2 linked regions of the Callithrix jacchus genome follow. The protein of the gene in region 1 interacts with the protein of each later gene in a pairwise test. Links are inferred from orthologs where the notes say so. Each region holds a gene or a part of one and is shown on either strand. Other genes may lie near its edges.

Region 1 (10,101 bases):
CTTCCTACCCACAGTGCACCACCAACCATGAGTTTTACCACCCTCCCAGCATGCCTACTCATAGCATGCAGTGATTTTGACACAACTGTGACCTTGGCCAACCCACACAATGAAACTTAGAGCCCTGCCTTTCAAGAACCCTTTGTTACCCTTGCCCTCCCTCACATAGTGGGGCCGAGTATCCAACCCTCCAAGGCGCTGAGGGTCAGTGCTTCGGACGCTCTGGACATTCATCTCCAGGATCATCTCAAACCGTGGCCATAGCAAGGCAAGCACCTGTTCCCAGTACCTGTGGACTTAATCAGAATCAGAGGTCAGCTGGCAAAGAATGTGGGAGAGGGATGCAAGGGAGTGGGGCATCATTCAATTCAGTGGTCAACAGTCAGTTGTAGAGGGCGGTGGTTGGAGAAATGTGAGTCAAAAGGCAGCAGTACTGCCTCCAGAGCAAATGAACAGGAATAAAGGTTGATGATACCAAGTCAGTAGGACTCTAAGGTCAGGGCAGAGCCATTGTAAGGCCAAGAGAGTTAATGGCCTGTTGGGCATCAAGGACCAGAATTCAGTGACCTGTCCAGGGCAGGAACATCCCTCTTTGCTGCAATGTTGCGGAACCGGAGAACAATGTGGATACAGAGAAACACAGCAATGGCATCATAGCAGTCAGTGAGATAGGACTCCAGGTGTTTCTGTGATTGGGAATAAGCAGAGGTTTAAAAGAGAATGTTAGTTTGTTGTCCTTAGTGGCTGTGTGAACAAACACATGTGTTTCATTGGGGATGATGCACTGGCGAGAGAGAAGGGAGAGACCTAAAAGGGAAAAATGCCCCCTGCTTTCCTGTCCACTGCCACCCAGGTGGTCCTGCTGCCTTGCCCACCAGAATCTGTTTTTGGCTTTTTTTTTTAGACAGAGTTTTGCTCTTGTCGCCCAAGCTGGAATGCAATGGCACAAACTCAGCTCACTGCAACCTCCACCTGCCTCCCAGGTTCAAGCAATTCTCTGGCCTCAGCCTCCTGAGTAGCTGGAATTATAGGTGCCCACCACCACACCTAATTTTTGTATTTTTAGTAGAGAGGATTTATCCATGTTGGCCAGGCTGGTCTCGAACTCCTGACCTCAAGCAATCTTCCTGCCTTCATCTCCCAAAATGCTGGGATTACAGGCATAAGGCACTGCACCCAGCCCCACCAGGATCTATGATTACAAGTCTATCATAGCAGAGTTCAGGACTGAGATTGGGTCCGGGGCTTGAGCACCAAGATTTAGGGGTCCCTCAATTCTCACTAGGGGTAATCTCAGGGACCCTAAGCTCTGAGGATTTCATGAGGAGTAACATCATAACAAGTCTAAGTAACAAGGCTTAGACCTTTTGTTTTTGTTTTTTTGAGACAGGCCTCACTGTCTCCCAGGCTGGAGGGCAGAGCTTACTGCAGCCTTGACCTCCTGGGGTCAAGCAATCCCTCCACCTCAGCATCTCCAGTAGCTGGGACCAGAGGCACACACCAACACACAGTCAGATAATTTTTTATTTTTTGTAGAGATGAGGTTGTTGCCGAGGCTGGTCTCAAACTCCTGAGTTCAGGCAATCCAACTGCCTCGAACTCCCAAAGTGCCGGGATTTTGGGCATGAGCTACCAGGCCCAGCCAAGGCTTAGACATTTTAGAATGAGGTGATCCTGATTTCAGTTCTACCAGTCATGACCCCACTATGCTGCTGATGAAGACTGGGACAAAGGTATTGAACAGTACCTGAAATAGGAATCTTACCAGGGTCATGCTGAGTGTACGGCCCATGACAGCATGGAACAGGTCGTGTGCAGCCGGGCCAGACACAACAAAAAATTCACAGATGAAAAGATATTCGCGGCAGGAATTGTCTAGGAGGGCATAGTGCTGGCTGCGGAAGAGAGCCTCAAATGGATACTAGGAGAGGAGAAGTAAAGAAAAACAGAAGGGATGGACCCCAACACTGACTTCCCATGGATATGGCTGGAAAATCAGTAAACCTGGGTAATAAGAGCCGAGCAGACCCTTCACATCCATCTAGGTCCGGGCTGTCAGAGTATCCGGAATGGGCACTGAAAAGCTCAGGGAACACAGGGGTAAAAGAAGGGCCTATACCCTCTTGCTGTCGCTACTCCTGCATCCACCTCAACACCTGCCTCTGACCATCATTCCCCTCAGCCAGTCTCCCCCCTCTACATGCCCTTAAGTCAATGGTTCCCAGCTCTTTTCACATTACAGTAGGCTGGAGTGATTGGAGAAGCCCACTCTCAAGTCTAGGGGGATTGAGGCAGGGACTGCAGGTTGGGAAGCTTTGCCCTGAGGGGTGGCCTTTCCTCCCCTCATGCTCAGAGTCTCCTTCATGACTGAAGCTTGTTCCTCCTCATACCCTCTGCTCTCCACGCTGGGCTGTGTGAGGCACCAGAATGGGGGCCTCAAGTTCAGTCGGGGAGATGACAGAGCCACGGGTTCCCAGGGTGAAAATGGTGTTCCTGCTGCGGAGCGATGGCTTTGAGAAGAACCGTAAGATGGGTCAGAGTCAGGGAAAACAATAAGACCATAACTGGGCCCAAAGACTATCTGCAGGGACCCCAGCCAGCCTTCTTTCCCAGTACTGGGGCCCCACTTCACCTGACATCTGTGAATGGGCTTCAGGGGATCTCTCCCTCCTCTGCAATCATATGCAAAACTATGTAACAAAATGATGTGTACATCTTTCTAGGAAAAGAGGCTATAGCTTTCATCACTTTCCAAAAGGTTTCAGTCCCATAGGAAAAGGTAAGGAGCAGTGCCTTGGTGGCTGGAGCCAAAAGTCCTCCCACTCTCAAGGCCTGGCATGAGGGTTCCCCAGTACTAGGATATCTTTCTTTGCCGTATCTTCCACACCCATCAGATCATCTTTCTCAGCAACTTCCTCATACTAAGAAAATAGAAAAGAGAACTGATAACCAACTCTTTCCATAGCACAGTAAAATATTCCTTGCCCAGAGATGTCTCCTCCTCCCAGTCCATGTGCCCAGAAATGCCTCTCCCTCCTGGCCTTACCTGCACCTTCATGAGCCGCCCCAGGTAAGAGCGGTAGTAAGACAGGTAGATCTTGCTCAGCGTCTCCACGTATTCATCCCTGATCTCCTTTGCTGTTGCTCGTTCATTGCCCAGCAGAAACTGATAGAAGAACCTAGAAGCGTCAAGAACATGTCAGTCTACCTATCTGCCCAAGAAACCAGATGCCCACACTAGGCTGCTCAAAAGCTCAAAGGCCATCCATGCACTTCCCCGGGGTGGTGACCTGTACTTCAGCAGGGCTGTCTGGGGGATCTGATAGTTGGTCATTGGTTTCCTGAAGGAATAAATCTTCTGGAGGATAAACTCTCGGATCTTCGCCACTGCCTAGATGTGGGGAACCAAACACAGGGCATGAAGCTGCAACCCTTTTATTGTATGAGAGGAATTGGGGGAAGCAACAAATAGTAAACATAGAGAGAAGGGTGGTGAATACCTCTTTGGTATTTAAGATTTTCAGGGAAACCCAGGGAGGCAAGAATGGGGCTGCCCGGAAAAGGCAGGGTGAAGTTCTTGGAGACAGGCTACAGTGAGCCCTGCCAAGGAGATCCATACTGAAGGTCTTGGGAAGGCTGCTTCTAGTAGCCTCCAGGGTATCCATCCCTACTTCCCACCTTGACCCGGAGCCGATCAAGCACGCCTCTGACATCTGCGCAGGCCGCCGTGCCTCTAGCTTCCTGCTCCCTGACTGCGGCTGCCTTGGCATCCAGCTCCTGTAGCTGTTCCAAGAACCTGGGTTCTGTCACTGGAGCCTCTAGAATTGCCCTGGGGAGCAGGAAGGGGTGGGATGAGTTATAAGGGAGACCCAGACATCCCTAAACCAGACCTAGACCACATTCCTTACATCCAGCCTCTGTCATGCTACCACCCTGCAATGTACTATATATCAGGACACATGTACAAAGTTTTCTATTCCTGGACTTCCCCACTACACACCTGATCCTGCATCATTCTTAATCTTAATCTTTGATGCCTAAAGCATGCCTAAAGAAATGGTTGTTAATCCGGCTACTAATTTCTAAAAATCACTTAACCGGGAGCTAGGAGACCCATGCGGTAAAGAGGGTAGGTCACCCCAGCCCATTCATCTACTATGGACATTATGACCCTTCAAACTGGTAACTCACATGACCAGAGCAGAAGGCACCACCAGACCATCAACAAGTTCCCCAAGTTTCCCTCGAACTGCCTGGCGATTTCGAAGTCGAATATTCATGGCTCCTGACTGTTCCTGCAGTGTCCGAATCTCAGAGCTGATGGAGCTGAGGTCACTCTGAAAAGCTCCCAACATCTGCTCCATTCGCTGTAGGAAGGGTAGAAGATGTTGCTGGAGTGCTCTAGAGCTGGTAGGGGATAAGTGGGCCACCAAGGCCTCTTGGTGAAGTCCTCAGTATTTATCAGTCCATGAGGGTGGCAGATGATAAAACCCATAGACTGCCATGAAATAACATTAAATATCACAGTAATAACAAAAAAGGCTCCTGAGGTCATCTTGAAAATGATCCTAACCTGTCCCATCTTGAGGATGATGACCTAAAAATGGCATGAGAGTCCATGATCTAGTTCAGAGTAGCTATTACAGGTCACAGGTCATAATTACTAACCTCCAGGACAGCATCACAGGCTGTGATCTGGTTGTGCAGAGATGCTATATTCTCACTCTCTTGAATATCTGACCCACAAAAAGTCAAGGGGCCTCATGGTGAAGATGGAAATCCTCAGATTTGTAGAACCTCTCCAATTTCTCTCTGAAGGGACAGAAACCTCAGAGATGTGGACCCCACATACCACAAAATCCCCAGGGTAATAGCACTGCCCCTTCCCTCTGCTGGAGGATACAATCCCGAATGGATTTCTGTTCAATCTGCTGTAGCTCCAGCTCAACTTGCTTTGAATAGTGACGAAGATCTACACCCTGGGAGAACATAAAGATGACAGGTCAGGAGGAAGTCTCAGTAAAGGGACACTGTAACAGAATCAGTGAAGGACTAAAGGGTCAGACACCAGGCTAATATAACAAAAGCAAGAGACTTGTTTTTCCTTTTGGGGAGAGTAGATAGAAGGGCAGATTAGTATAGGGGAAAGCCTCACCGTTTTAAGAGCTTCCTTTACTAACTCATCCTCCAGATTTGCCTGAATGTGAACTGGAAATAGAAGTTTATCATAAGGGTCCAGCTCCACACATTGGAGCTGGACCACAATTCCCTCTCCCCACACTGAGTATCTGCACACCAATCCCTACCTTATTCCTTCTAGCCCACATGCCTCTCAAATTACAGCTACTACACCCACCCATGCCATCACTTACCATCCACTTCATCCAGGATGTACTCATCAGAAGTAATATCCAACTCCCCAAGTTGCAGTGGTTCCTGGAGCCCAGGACCACTGGCCTAGAAAGGGATAGGTTAATGGGAGTAGGGAATGGGGAAAGACAGAAGAAAATATATAATTAAATACCCGAAGTCCTTCAAGTGATATAGAGGTGCTTTTACTGGGAGCACAGGTACTGCTTTGAAAAATTCTAAGTCTCCCACTGTACCCACTCTCCTATTTTGTGCTGTTGGGTAAGGAATATGACAAGGAGTTAGATGATTCAGTAAGATAGTGGAGGTAGCCCAGCATGGTGGTGGGCTCCTTGTAGTCCCAACTACTTAGAAGCTGAGACGCGAAGATTGAGACCAGGAGTTCAAGGTCAACCACCTGGGTAACACAGGGAGTCCCGTCTCAAAAAACAAAACAAAACTAATGACAAGACAGTGGAGATGACTAAATGAGGAAAACTAGAAATTGCAGAGAATAGAGCAGAACTTGCACTTAAATTTAGGACCCTCAGACTCCTGTTATCTCAGACCTCTGGGGAACCCCAGACTTTCTAGAAATGTCAAAACACAGTGTTTACCTGCGTGCCAGGTGCCATCTTACACATACTCATTTATCTGAGTCTAACAATGATGTATAAAATAGGTTCTCTCTTCCTCACCTTATAGGTGTGGGAAATGATGCCACAGAGAAGCCAATTAACTTGCCCAAGGGCACACAGCGTGTTAAGTGGCAGAAATGGAATCAGAACCAAGGCAGTCTGGCTCCAGAGGCCATGTTCTTAACCTTTATACTATATTGTTTCTTGACTCTACCCCAAAATATGGAGAGAAGTTGAAACTGTGCCCCAGGACATGAGTTGCAGCCACTAGGGACCTGCTCAGGGTTGGGTCTGATCAGCGGGAAGGGTAAGAGGAGCCAAACAGGTAACATCACGCGTAGCAGCCAAGTTCCCACCCGTGCCTAAACCCAGCCCAGGCCTTTAGGAGGAGAAACAGCTCCGCGCTCTCACCAGCGGGCCCTCTTCCTCCTCCATATCTGAGGTTCCAGCCCGCAATACCAGTTCCCGGGCGGCAGCAGCCATGGTCGCAGCGGCGGCCATTCCCCGCAGCCTCACTTCCGGCCACTGTCAGTCCCGGCAAGTCCGTTCCCTAGAGTGGAGTTCAAGTCCCAGACAGCCTTCCTCAGAGCGAACTTCCCAGATGTTTGAGTTAAATTGTCTGACTCCAGGGGTTCCTTTTCAGCTCTAATCACTTCACCCAACTGCAAATGGAAACATGGAAGTCTAAAGCACAAACTAGCTCCGGAACCTTCGCTGCTCTCATACCCATGAACTTTGCGAACTGTAAAGAAAGGCTGTACCGGAAGTTATGGTACCTAAGTCATACTCTCCAGAGTCCAGGCAGCTCGCGCTGAAAGTTTCCGGAAGCACGTCTCTTAGATAGCTCCGCCTCTTCCTCCTAAAGCTATATAAGAACATTGCGTCACTTCCGTTTTCTCTTCCACAGGAGGCTTACACGCCGCCGCTTGTTCTGCCGCCATGGTAAGACTGGAAGCTGTGCCGTGATCCAGCGACATCGGAACTCGGGCAAGGGAAGCCGGCTGTCAGGGTTCTAGAAACGCTCTGTCCTGACGGCCTGCAACCTTCTGTATGGAGCCTTGAATCGCGCCCCTGGAAAGGGACACCAAAGATTTCCAATTCCGGGTAGCGGGCCCAAGGAAGGGTCACTGCTTGGGCACACGGAAGCTGCCAAAGGCTTGGGCGTATTATAGGGACTCTGGCTTCTGCCACGCAGAGTGCACTTTTGGAAATGGGCAGGAGTCCTGCCTCCTCTCTCCAGAGGTTTTTTTTCCCCACGCTTGAATGCTTCATGTTCCTACTCTCTGCAGGACTTGAGGAGTTTGCTGTGATGTGAAAACCTAAGGGATGGGGGTCGGGTGTCTTTGACCACTTGTGTGACAGGTTTTTAACTTTTCTTTATAAAGGTCGTTTGCCTTAGCAACCTTACTGTTTGATAGTAGTTTACTGTGTCTGATATCTCCCCATACTTTTTCAATCAGTCTCTAGTGATCCCTGAAAAGTTCCAGCATATTTTGCGAGTACTCAACACCAACATCGATGGGCGGCGGAAAATAGCCTTTGCCATCACTGCCATTAAGGTAAGTGAAGTAGGATAAGGAATAGGGAATGTAAATGAGAATTAGGTTGTAAAGATATAAGCAAAAATAAAGGAACGTTGGGGAAACTTGAGTCTCATCCAGATCACCTGGACTGCCGGATTTAGAAAAGAAAGCCGGGCGCAGTGGCTTACGCCTGTAATCTCAGCACTTTGGGAGGCCGAGGCGGGCGGATCCTAAGGTCAAGAGATGCAGACCATCCTAGCCAACATGGTGAAATCCCGTCTCTACTAAAAATACAAAAAAATTGGCTGGGCGTGGTGGTGCGCGCCTGTAGTCCCAGCTACTCGGGAGGCGGAGGCTGGAGAATCGCTTGACCCTGGGAGGCAGAGATTGCCCTGAGCCGAGATCGTGCTACTGCACTCCAGCTTTGGCGACAGAGAGAGACTACGTCGCAGAAAGAAAAAGAAAATAGTTTAGGGAGAAACTAACCCCTTTAGTCCTTACTACATTTATCACAGAGGTTAGGTAAAGCCAATTGAGTGGTTTAAGATCAAGCCCAATATACTTCACCGGGGGAAGTGGGGCGGGGTATGGTTACCTACCCAAATTCGCTAAGATCCCCCTGAACCGTGAGCTTGTGAGATCCCTGCTAGATTTGTTTCATTACCCAAACCACCATCATAATAGCAACCTTTCCTGTGAAATTTATATGCCCTGGGAACGGGAGGATTATTGGGCTTCTTGAGGGATAAGTAGACATGCCAACAGATAAAGTGTGAAGAAACCTGTAAATGGAGGGTTGAGGAAGTCTGGGCAGGACGTTTACTCAGATGCCAAAATTGACACTCCTTTCCTATCAAAGTGGGAAGGAGTACAGATTTCATTCACTTGTAAGAATCCAAAAGGGAATGCAAAGAACATTGCTTCACTTGCATATTTCTCTCCACAAATGTAAGGAACTCCTTTGTAGATAAATGCTTTTTTTTTTTTTTTTTTTTTTTTTTAATTAATCAGAATGTGTAGTTAGTTGTGGAAATAGCCTACCAGTATGTGTCCATTTCATGGGTACAGGGCTAGGCCTGTCGTACAGTTCTAAGCTTCTGTTGCATGTTAGGGAATGGATAGTAGTAGGGATACTCTTGGCAGGTTTGAGGACTGTAAAGGAAAATTCCTGCCATTTTTGGTGGGGAGACAGTCTTGCTCTTTTGCCCAGGCTGAAGTACAGTAGTGCCATCTTGGCTCACTACAACTTCCACCTCCCGGATTCAAGCAATTCTCCTACCTCAGCCTCCCGAGCAGCTGAGATTTCAGGCACCTGGAATTAACCTAGTTAATTTTGGTATTTTTAGTAGGGATGGGGTTTCACCATGTTAGCCAGGCTGGTCTTGAACTCCTGACCTCAGGTGATCCACCTGCCTTGGCCTCCCAAAGTGCTGGAATTAAAGGCCTGAGCCACCACACCTGGCCTGAAGTAAATCTTTTCATTTCTAAGTTTATGGAATTTGATGGTTGGCTTCTGAAATAGGACATTTAATAAAATTTGAGGCTGGGTGCAGTGGCTCATCCCTGTAATTCCAGCACCTTGGGATACTGAGGTGGGTGGATCCCCTGAGGTCAGGGGTTTGAGACCAGCCTGGCCAACATGGGTGAAACCCTGTCATTTAATAAATAAATTTGAAAGACTACTGTCTTCTGAATCAGCCTGCCAATTTGACCCTTGGTCACATTTATTTTTATTTTTTTCCAAGACAGAGTCTCCGTTGCCCAGGCTGGAGTGCAGTTTTTTTTGTTTGTTTTTTAGAGACAGGATCTCACTGTGTTGCCTAGGCTGGTCTGAAACTCCTGGGCTTAGTGATCATCCAGCCTCAGCCTCCCAAAGTGCTGGAATTAAAGGCGTGAGCCACTGTGAAGTCAACCTTTGATTTCTTTCTTGCAATTTCCTGGGGGCTACTATAACAAGTTCATATAAACTAATCAGAAAATTACTCTTGGCGCTGGGGGCATTTAAGAATCCTACCTTGTCTCTCCCTCTCTTCTGGTGGTTGTCAGGAATTCTTAGTGTTCCCTGGCTTGTAGCTGCATTACTCCAATCTGTTGTCATCTCGTGATCGTCTTTGTGTGTTTATCTTAAAAGATGACTTGTCATTGGATTTAGAGCCCACCCTAATCAAGTGTAACATTTTACCTAATTATTTCCCTAACGACCTCATATCCAAATAGGGCCACATTCTGAGTTTCTAGTTGGACATAAATGAGAGGAGGACCTCACTATTCAGTCCATCTTTCACTATCCAAATCACTTTGGTTCATGAGTTTAGATGGCATGAGTGCTAGTGCTGGCGTTGATATTACGCTACCAAAGTAAGCATTAGTTTGTTTGTTTTTTAAGATGAGTTTTGCTCTTATTGCCCAGGCTTGAGTGCAATGGCTCGGTCTCGTTTCACTGCATCCTCCGCTGCCTGGGCTCAAGTGATTCTCCTGTCTCAGCCTCCCAGTTGGCTGGGATTACAAGCATGTGCCACCACACCTGGCTGATTTTTTGTATTTAGTACAGACAGGGTTTCACCATGTTGGTCAGGCTGGTCTCGAACTCC
Region 2 (10,181 bases), about 130 Mb from region 1:
CACTATGCCTGGCCTACTTTTTGCATTTTTAGTAGAAATGGGGCCATGTTGGCCAGGCTGGTCTGGAACTGCTGACCTTGGGTGATCCACACACCTCAGCCCCCCAAAGTGCTGGGGATTACAGGCATTAGCCACCAGAGCCAGCCAATAATATTTTTAATTGTACATATTTAACCAGCATAGAAGTGCCTATATCTATGCATATGTAAACATAAAATTTTGAGAACAAACCAGGAACTTCACATAACAAGTACTGTGGTAGAGATCTGTGAATGACAGTTTGAAACAGCTAAATTTATCACTAAGGCTAGCTGATATACCTGTTATCTAGTTATTGGGCATCCTACCTACTCAGTATGTATAATTTTAGTTGTAATACTAAAGTATCATGGATGCTATTCAATATAAATTCCAGTTTATAAATTATTACAGTTGGCCCTTGAAGAACCCAGGTTTTAGCTGCATGGGTCCACTTATACATGGATTGTTTTCAATCAAACTCAGATAAAAATAAAGTACTGGGATCAAAAATACAGCATTCATGGGATACAGAACCTGAGTCTGCAAAGGGCAGACTTTTCATACAAGAGGGTTCACATTCCCATGCCAGGATTTTGGCAAGGATCGTTTGCATATGTTTCTACAATGGGATACTTCCCCTAGGTTTACTTGTTTATTCTCTTCTTAAAGACAGGTATCCATATTTTTATTCCATTAAAATAAAATTAACTGCAAGCTTAGTAAGCAACAAATGAGATCATAATCTGCTTTTAAAGAGCATTAAAAGGTCTGGGAAACACATGAAGAAAGTTCTGATAACCTTGGTATTCTAAAACAGGGTATCAACTTTGCAAATATAAAAGTAGCAGAATCTCTGCACCCCATCTCAAGAATTACCACAACCCGGGCTCTATCTCAAAAAGAATTACCAGAAACAGGGTCCAAATACTGTGCTATTTCTGAAGATAGACATTAATCTTCAGCAGTGGTAACTGGCAGAAAATGGGCATTTAATTATTAGTTTCCCTTTTCCTATAAAAAACATGAAAAGATAATTCACAGGTTGAGGATAATAATCATACTGCCCTCATGACTGTTTCTAACTTTTACTGCAGAATTCTTGGCATCTCCAATATTTAGAATTCTAAACAGAAGTTACTTGAATTTTTTTGAGACAGGGTCTCACTGTGTCGCCCAGGCTGGAGTGCAGTGACTTGATCATGGCTCACTGCAGCCTCCATCTATTGGGCTCAAGTGATCCTCCTGCCTCTCAGCCTCTTGTGCAGCTGGGATCAGAGGCGTGCCCAGCTACATTTTTTTTTTCCTTCTTAGTAGAGATGAGGTCTTGCTATGTTGCCCAGGCTGGTCTTGGGCTCCTGGGCTCGAGTGATCCTCCTGCCTGCGCATCCAAAAGGCTGAGATTACAGCTGTGAGTCACCAGGCCCAGCCTGCAGTTATTGAAATTTCTAAACCTGGCTTATGTCCTTTTATTTTTTAACAAGTTTGATGTTGAGCAGATTTTAAATAAATGGTGCTTTTTACTAACATTTTGTTTAAAAATAAAATTCTTTATTTGTAAGTCAGGGGTAAATACAGGTTTTAGATAAATGTCTACACTTCCTAAGTCAACTTTTAGAGTCACTTTTAAGATCACTCTAGTTGTTTGGGGTATCCAACTTGGGAAATTCAGAGCCTCAACATTTACAAAGAGAGTCCTTCTTCAACTTTAATCTGATGAAAAATCAATCTTTCCTTAAAAGTCCATGATATGCCACAAAGTCAAATTGACTTTGAATCATCTGGGAAAAGGCAAATTAGAACAGGTTCAAAATTTACAACTATCTGCAACATTCAACTATTTGGTCAAAATAGAAGCTAATTCGTAATTCTGACATTCACACTGCACAAATGTACTGAGAACTTTGGTATTCCCCAGGTCAACTTTTTTTTAGTGCAAATGACAAGAACAACAACCATTTAAAGTCATTTCTAGATTCATAAAGACAATGAATATTCCAGGTTCTCCGAACAATCTATTCTCGTATCACAAAAAACAGAATGATCATATCATCATTTGGAGTCAATTAAAATTGAATCCTAAGGAAAAATAATAAAGAAAATATACTCAATACTTATGAGTCACACATTTAACAACAGCACTTTTCAAAGTCAAAGTTAGTTCCCATTTTCCAGGATGAAAATGACTGTGAGTCATTAGGTGATTAAAACAGTTATTAATTAATACATTGGGGATAAGGACCTCAAATTTGCCCCTCAAAAAGGTGGTAACATGATAATTACTTTTTAAATTACGTAAAGGTTTCAGTTATTTATGTAGATAATTTAGAGATAATATATCTCAAACTTAGACTATCAGGACCACCATCTACTCTTGATTCCATAACAGAGAAAAACAGCTTAGTAGGGAGTTCGGTTTAGACTGGCTAGGTGCCTACCATCCCAGATCCCAGTAGCTTCCTGGCTCTCCGCATCATAAAGTTAGGCAACTCAGTTCCCTCTGAACAGAGGCAAGGGCCAGCCAACACAACTTCAGTAAGAAAGCACGGTACCTTGGTGAAACAAATCATAGCTGAATGTAAGAAACCAATCTTCAGACACTATAGTAGCACGGTACTGATCAGAACTGAAAGGCCACCTTTTCCTTACCCTCCGTCATGTGTGATTTTGAGTAAGTCATTTAACCCTTGCAGTTTCCAAGTCACCAAAACATAATTTTGCCTGTCTCAAAGTGCTGCAAATAGTGATGCTTTCAGCACAACATGCTATATAAATAAAATTTTTCAAATAAAATATGAACATAAAAGGCAACTTTCATGTGCACTTGGAAAAAATTAAATTCTACTAACTATATCTTCAAAGGCAGAAAATATTTATAGCACTATGTTCTAGTCAGATGAAACGCCTTGTTATACACAATGAAGCATACTATTGTAAAGATACTGAAAAGTTTTTCGGTGGTAAGCTTAGTAACTACAAGAAACAACATTTAGAGGCAGAAAAGTGCACTGGAAATAATTTAAAAAGTAAAAACAAGAAAAAACCAAAATATTATCTTCAGTCTTGTTTTGCTGAAGGACCTACTAACATACAATTTTGAAGAACAAGAAATATATAATGATCAAAACTGCTAAACAATATATTCGAGGGGATTCAATACTACATACAAGACCGTAAGAGATCTTGGATGCTTTAACGTACTGTACAAATAGCGACAGTGCTCATCTCCACATCATAGAGCTATTACACATTTTCTGTTTCATCTCTACCAGCTTATTTCTGACAGACAATACACAACAATATTTTGAACAAACATGACTCAACGTTCAATTGGAAAAGCTAGACATAAAGGAGCCATGTAAAAATCAGCAGTGCCTGGGACATACTATTATTACTTTCATCCTCTGGGAGCTAGAAATTTCGGTAGCTCGTCCAAATTCTGCCACTGAAAAAGTACATAAAAATACTTACGTTTTAAACTATGTGTGTGCTTAAGATACCTTAAGATCTAAAAGCACTGTTAGAAACACACCTACGCAAACCGTTAAAACGTAACCTCAACCTTATTAAAAGCCTACTTGTGGACTGCAATCTTTCCCCACTTCCTTTGCCTAATCAGTGCTACTTGAATGAATTAAAATGTACCCACCTTGAAAATATTTTTCGTTCACGGTTTTAAATTATGGTTTTAAATGTCCGTAGTATGTTTATCTATCGTAAAAAAGTTAACAGCCAAAATTTTAAAATACAAAAAAAGAGAGCTTGTGATGCATCTATGATGTCCATTTATCTTCCGAAGCAATGGAATTAACTAAATTAAAAACTAGATAAAATGGACACAAATACAACTTGCAACTGTAACATAATTACCGAAAATACTTTCGGCGAATTTTTCTACTAAATGGTAGATTTTTTTTTTTTTTTTTACATAATCACAGGATATTAAGATAGTCCTTTGGGATCAAACCACCAAGCGACTTTCTTCTTTATCAAAACAAGAACTTAGGCTTTTCTACTATGTGTACACTGACTTATGAAAAACGGTTAAAAAAATCATCGAATAACTGTCACAGGGATCCAAGGTGAGACTTGGATTTCACAAAAATCTGCAAATAATTCAGTTTCTTTCCTCAGAATGCACGCACTCATTTGAAAATGGAAATCTACAAGATAACCTATCTGCAGTAACAACCTACTGCGTGACACGAAATACTGGGAACGAACGATTTTTTTTTCTTGCTGAACTCGTTAGTGCCGCCAGGTTCTCGGGAGAGGCCCGAGGGAGGTGGAGGGGGCGACACCTAGGAGAGGAGAGGAAAGGACGAGCGCCGCCGTTCAGCCCGGGGAGGGCAACCTTCGGCCTCCGTGAATGGCCGGTCTCTCCGACCGCCGGAGCACCCGTCTCACCCCGGACCCCGGGGACGGAGGACGGAGATAAAATGGCATCGGGGTGGCGGAAGTGTTTCCGCAGGCGGGAAGATAGAGCGGATTACGAGAGACCGGTGCCGCCCGGGGCATGAGTGATCCTTCCGGCCCTGCCCGCCCCTTACCGGCCCGTGGCCGCTGCGCCCCAGCCCTCAGGCCCCGGAGATCCCCCGCGGCCGCTCCCGCCAGCCGACCCGCACCTACCTCTCCTGTCGCGGAGGCCGAGGCCGCGCTGCTCGCCCCGCCGCCCGGGCCCCGCGGGCGCCGCGCAACCGGACCGCTCTGCCGCCGGTTCCGCCGCGCTCCCAGTCCCGCCACAACCCCGGCGCTCCCCTTTATTTGCGGGTCTCGCTGCCACAAAATGGCGCTGAGGGAGGAAACCAGGCCCCGCCGCCCGGCCCCGCCCCGTCGCCCGGCCCCGCTCCGCCCCGCCCCGCCCCACAGCCCGGCCCGAACGCGCCGCCTGCCAGCGCCACTGCCTGCCGCCTCCCGCCAGCCTCATCGCTCCGCCATGTTCGCGTTCTGGCCCACTCACCGAAGAGTCGCCTTTCAGGGGTGGCCGCGGTCACCTGCCCGCCGCCGGGCCCCGCCAGTAGAGGAAAAGTGAGGGGAGGGCGGCCGCCGGCCTAGCCCGATCGGGGCCTCGAAGCGCAGTGGAGCAGCTGCTCCCCGGTAACACACCCTGTCTTTTCCCAGGAGCCTGGCGCGAGCCCCCGCGGCCGCCGGAGCTCAGCGAAGGCGGTGGGGGCGGGAAGGGAAGCGGCTGGAGGGGCGGGACGGCGAGGTCGGAGGTCAGCCGCGGGGCATCACGGGAAGGGAAGGTGGCCGCCTGGTGGACGCACTCGCCGCGGCCACCTGCGTCTGCGGGACGGCCTCGTGCGGAGGGATCTGGGCGAAGGCGGCGCGTCATTGGCCGCTCTGTGGTCGCGACTCCCATCCTTGATGCTTCCGCGCGTCGGAGGACCAGGTGCCACCTCGAGAGAGGCTGTGGGCGGCGAGCTGGGGGCGTTTACGCTTAGCAGAAGCTCACCTGTAAGTTTTGAGAACTTAGAAACCGATGCCCTCCCTTTCTTCTGTCGTAAGGCGTATCCTCCTGGACGCCGGGTTTGCTCCTCCTTGACGTCTCTGGGGACGTATCGAGGAGCTATTGTTCTCTGGTGCCGGAGGTTGCGCGGCGACCGCGGCTCTGAGGGCGCCTTGCTAACTCTGAGGAGGGAAAGGCGGCCGGCCCCGATGGGCTTAGTGAATCCAGTTAAAGGGGTCCTGCAAGTCGAGCAGACTCCCTGAAGCAAGACTGCGCCATCTGGATTGCCGAGTAAGGGCGGTGTTACCTGAAGAACGTGGAACAATCTCGAAACACTAGAGGATCACGTAATTCTTTCGATTGGTCTGCCCTTAGCCGGCTTTATCAAACCTGTTTATCCCCAATGAAGTGTCTTGTAGTAAGGTGATTTCTAAGGATAAGATTAAAGTACACTCCAGATGGTCGTATTACATTCCCCGTGAATCAGATCAGTCTGGAGAAGTCTTTGCAACTTGTATCACAAGAACTCTCAAAAATTGAAAACAAAAAGTCCAAAATTCAAAGGAGAAAATGGGGAAGGACATGAACAAATCATTCTCAGAAAAAATACAGTAATGGTCCTTAAACGTGGGAAGATGCTCCACCTTACTTACAATGGAAATACACATTGAAATTACCTTTCTGGTGGGAGTGGAAAAATGGTTCAAAATCTGTGGAGTACAAAATTACGTTTGTTTATTCTTACTCCTTGCAGTTCTAACCCTAACCTTATTCTGAAGGTACAGCTCTACACATGGAAACAATATGTATACAAGGTTATTGCAGTGCTATTTGTCATAGCAAAAGTTAGGGATAACCTAAATATCCATTAATAGGGAAGGGATAGGCAATGGTGCATCCATCCAATAGAATACAATGCAGCCCTTAAAAAGATTCAGAAGGGGCCGGGCGCCGTGGCTCAAGCCTGTAATCCCAGCACTTTGGGAGGCCGAGGCGGGTGGATCACGAGAGATCGAGACCAACCTGGTCAACATGGTGAAACCCCGTCTCCACTAAAAATACAAAAAATTAGCTGGGCACGGTGGTGCGTGCCTGTAATCCCAGCTACTCAGGAGGCTGAGGCAGGAGAATTGCCTGAACCCAGGAGGCAGAGGTTGCAGTGAGCCGAGATTGTGCCATTGCACTCCAGCCTGGGTAACAAGAGCGAAACTCCGTCTCAAAAAAAAAAAAAAAAGATTCAGAAAACCATGTGTTGCTTATTTTATATATCTTAATATATAAAAATATTTATATTTAACATGCATATTTATGTATATATGCTTATTTTGGGAGGAGGGATTGGAAGGATATCCCGGAAACTTAAAATAGTTACCTATAAAGAGAGGTGGGCAAGAGTGGAGGGGAGATAGAAACAAGAATTCTCTGTCTTTGAACTTTTAGTTTTATATAGCCGACAAGTAAATAAAAAAGTAAACCTCAGAGTTGAAAGCAAATTGAAACAAATGAAAATTCTTAAGTATGGCTTTTTTTTTTTTTTTTTTTAAGACAGTCTTGCTGTGTTGCCCAGGCTAGAGTGCAGTGGTACAATCTCAGCTTATTGCAACCTCCCCATCCTGGGTTCAAGCAGTTCTCCCACCTCAGACTCCAGAGTAGCTGGGATTACAGGCATGTACCACCACCCCTGGCTAATTTTTGTATTTTTAGTAGAGATGGGGTTTCACCATGTTGACCAGACTCACTCCTGACATCAGGTGATCCGCCTGCCTAGACCTCCCAAAGTGCTGGGATTACAGACGTGAGCCACCACAGTCGGCCCCTTGGGGCTTTTGAACACAGTCCTCTAGTAATGTATCTGTGTTGAGATAGTGTAGTCTTTCCTCCTTATATGCAGGAGATTGGATGTAGGACCTTCTGCAGGCATATACAGAAATCTGCATACCTGCCTTGGCCTACCAAAGTGCTGGGACTGCAGGCCTCAGCCAGCCGGCCTCTTTCTGAACTTCTTGGATCTTCCATTTATATCATTCTCTCATACACTAGAAGTCTTTGTACACAGTAACATTAAAGTACTTATGTTATCCCATCATATCACATACAGTACATAGTTTGAAAACAACAGCAACAATATTAGTCAATCATAAAGCAGTTAGTGAAGCTGAAAGCTCCTTTGCATTTTTTTCCTCATTAGGATACACAGTTGATCCTTGAACAACACTGGTTTGAACTGCTGGGTGGCTGATGCTTGCAGTCCCAGCACTTTGGTAGGCCAAGGCAGGAGCATCACTAGAGTCCAGGAGTTTGAGACCAGCCTGGGCAACATAGTGAGACCTCTGTCTCCATTTTTTTTTTAATTTAAAACAATTTTTAAGATGTTCTAATGGAACTGAAGAATACAATATGAGAACTTTGTGAAAAAAAAAAAAGTTCACTGATCCTGAAAAAAACTAATATAAAAAATTTTAAGAAGTTCAGAAAAAAATAGTCTGTAATACTGAGTTTAAACTGCAGGGCTGGGTGCAGAAGCACACACCTGTAAGCCCAGTGCTTTAGGAAGCCAAAGTGGCCTAGGAGTTCAAGACCAGCCTGGTCAACACAGTGAGACCCTGGCTCTACAAAGTCCAGATAAAATAGCCAGGGGTGGTAGCCTGTGCCTATATAGTCCTAGCTACTTGGGAGGCTGAGATTGGAGGACCAGTTGAGCCTAGGAGTTTAAAGTTACAGTGAGCTGTGATCTTACCATTGCACTCCAGCCTGGGCTGTAGACCCTATCAAAGAGAAAGAAGAAAAAAATTTAAACTGCAAAATAAAATTTCCTGGTTCTGTGCACTGAAAGGGCCTAGAAGCCCAAGGGTGACCAATTGGTCAAGTTTGCCATGGACTGAGGGGTTTTCTGTGGATGCTGGACTTTCAGGTTAAAACTGGAACAGTCCCAGGTGAACTAGGATGTACAGGCAAGGTCACCCTACAGTAACAATGAGCACATCTGACACGCAGATCTTGGTTTCTGAATTCCATTTCCACTAAAGAAGAGATCCAGAGCTCCTGGAAGAATTGGCTGATTCCAGCTCTGGGCTGGGAAAAAAACGAGTTGAGCCAGGTATTTCATTGTGCCTGAATGCAAAGGAAGTGCTTAGACCGATGAGGCTATGCCAACAGTATTTAGAAGCACTAACAAAACTAATCCATAGTGATAAACAGTAGATCAGTAGTTGGCTAGGAGGAGAAGAGAGAAGGAATTGACTGGAAAGGAAAATGGGAGAACTTTTGGGGGTGATGGACATGTTCTGTGTCCTGGTTAACAGAGAGATATACATTTTTCAAAATTCATTAAATTGTGGCACTATAAGGGATGCATTTTATTGCATGTAAATTATACCTCAATAAAATGTGGAAATAAGCCAAGGCAATCCAAATGAGAAAAGCAAAGTCTGTTGTGAACTTGCTGTAGCAAAGGAGTCAGCACCATCACTTACGTTTTGGCAGAGGTTCAAAGGCATGCAGAGGAGTGGGAAAGCTTTACAGTGGACAAGGGAAAGTTTCACAGGAATGCCTGAGGGGAAGCTGTTGCATGGGGAAGCTGGAAGCTAACTAGAAGTTGGCATCCCATGGGGTTGGTTAAAGGAGCATATGTGACTTTCTCTGGATGGTCATAAACTAGGAGTGGGGACAAAAATTAGGGAAGCTGTTAATTTTTAATCAAGTCCTGGTAATTTTGAGCTGATGTCGTAGAAGTTACTATTTAGCTTCCTGGATGGCTACCAGAGATAGCAGTTTGCCTTACTACGAGTCTGGTTGATAGCAGGTTTGGCTTTTAGGCTGGGTGTACAGCACTTATGGTAGATAAATGATTGGTTTACTGGGCTAGTTGTTGCAGGTAATGGGCCAGAATTCTGTTTTTATGTATATTGTGGCCATTGTTCATTTGTATTTTCAGTCTCTCAAAAATAAATTTTAGAGACATGGGAGTCAGCTTGAAGGATCTCCCACGGGCCAACTTTAGGGCAGTTTTAACATCAAAAAGAAAATGAATACTATTGATTGCAATACTGAATAAATAAAAATGTACTCTCTAGTATAGAGAAGAGAGAATGAGAAGAGGGAAACTATTTTTCCATCATTGGTAGTGACTATTATACCAGTTTGTTACTCTGAAAATTAGTTATTAAAGGCAGATAGCATTTATATTGTTTGTTGTTTGTTTTGTTTGTTTTTGTTTTAAAAATAGAGTCTTGCTCTCCCATCCAGGCTGGAGTCCAGTGGCACAAACATGACTCACTGCAGCCTTGATCTCCTGGGCTCAAGTGATCCTCCTGCCTCCTCAGAAGCTGGGACTACAAGTGCTTGCCACCATACCTGGCTAAGTTTTTTGGCTTGTTTTTTTGTTTTTTTAGAGATGGGGTCTTGCTATGTTACCCAGGCTGGTCTTGAACTCCTGGGCTCAAGTGATGCTCCCACCTCAACCTCCCAAAGCGCTCAGAGTATAGGCATACGCCACGGCTCCCAGCCTACTTTGCCTTTTTTTTTAAATAAAGAATGTGGCCGGGCGTGGTGGCTCATGCCTATAATCCCAGCACTTTGGGAGGCCAAGGCGGGTGGATCACGAGGTCAGGAGATCGAGACCATCCTGGTCGACAAGGTGAAACACCGTCTCTACTAAAAATACAAAAATTAGCTGGGCATGGTGGTGCGTGCCTGTAGTCCCAGCTACTCAGGA

What was found. The genes of interacting proteins can lie anywhere in the genome.
Region 2: the proteins of VPS52 (region 1) and WTAP interact in binary tests that used the Homo sapiens proteins (3 or more experiments, as listed by UniProt). The two-hybrid records come from large-scale screens. The link is inferred for Callithrix jacchus from reciprocal best matches to the Homo sapiens genes VPS52 and WTAP.

Annotation. Positions count from the first base shown.
Region 1 is NC_133505.1:41,508,083-41,518,183, forward strand, and holds the start of VPS52 (vacuolar protein sorting-associated protein 52 homolog), read right to left. Parts: upstream 6,732-10,101; 5' UTR 6,489-6,731; coding exon 6,399-6,488; intron 5,458-6,398; coding exon 5,373-5,457; intron 5,209-5,372; coding exon 5,156-5,208; intron 4,980-5,155; coding exon 4,904-4,979; exon of another isoform or gene 4,902-4,903; intron 4,740-4,901; exon of another isoform or gene 4,737-4,739; coding exon 4,669-4,736; intron 4,368-4,668; coding exon 4,192-4,367; intron 3,830-4,191; coding exon 3,679-3,829; intron 3,392-3,678; coding exon 3,291-3,391; intron 3,180-3,290; coding exon 3,047-3,179; intron 2,922-3,046; coding exon 2,864-2,921; intron 2,525-2,863; coding exon 2,391-2,524; intron 1,922-2,390; coding exon 1,766-1,921; intron 687-1,765; coding exon 568-686; intron 290-567; coding exon 166-289; intron 1-165. Other genes in the region: RPS18 (small ribosomal subunit protein uS13), read left to right, coding at 6,927-6,929, 7,448-7,546. UniProt on the Homo sapiens protein: Acts as a component of the GARP complex that is involved in retrograde transport from early and late endosomes to the trans-Golgi network (TGN).
Region 2 is NC_133505.1:166,519,643-166,529,823, reverse strand, and holds the start of WTAP (pre-mRNA-splicing regulator WTAP), read right to left. Parts: upstream 5,184-10,181; 5' UTR 4,979-5,183; exon of another isoform or gene 4,915-4,978; intron 4,802-4,914; exon of another isoform or gene 4,648-4,801; intron 2,571-4,647; exon of another isoform or gene 2,457-2,570; intron 1-2,456. UniProt on the Homo sapiens protein: Associated component of the WMM complex, a complex that mediates N6-methyladenosine (m6A) methylation of RNAs, a modification that plays a role in the efficiency of mRNA splicing and RNA processing.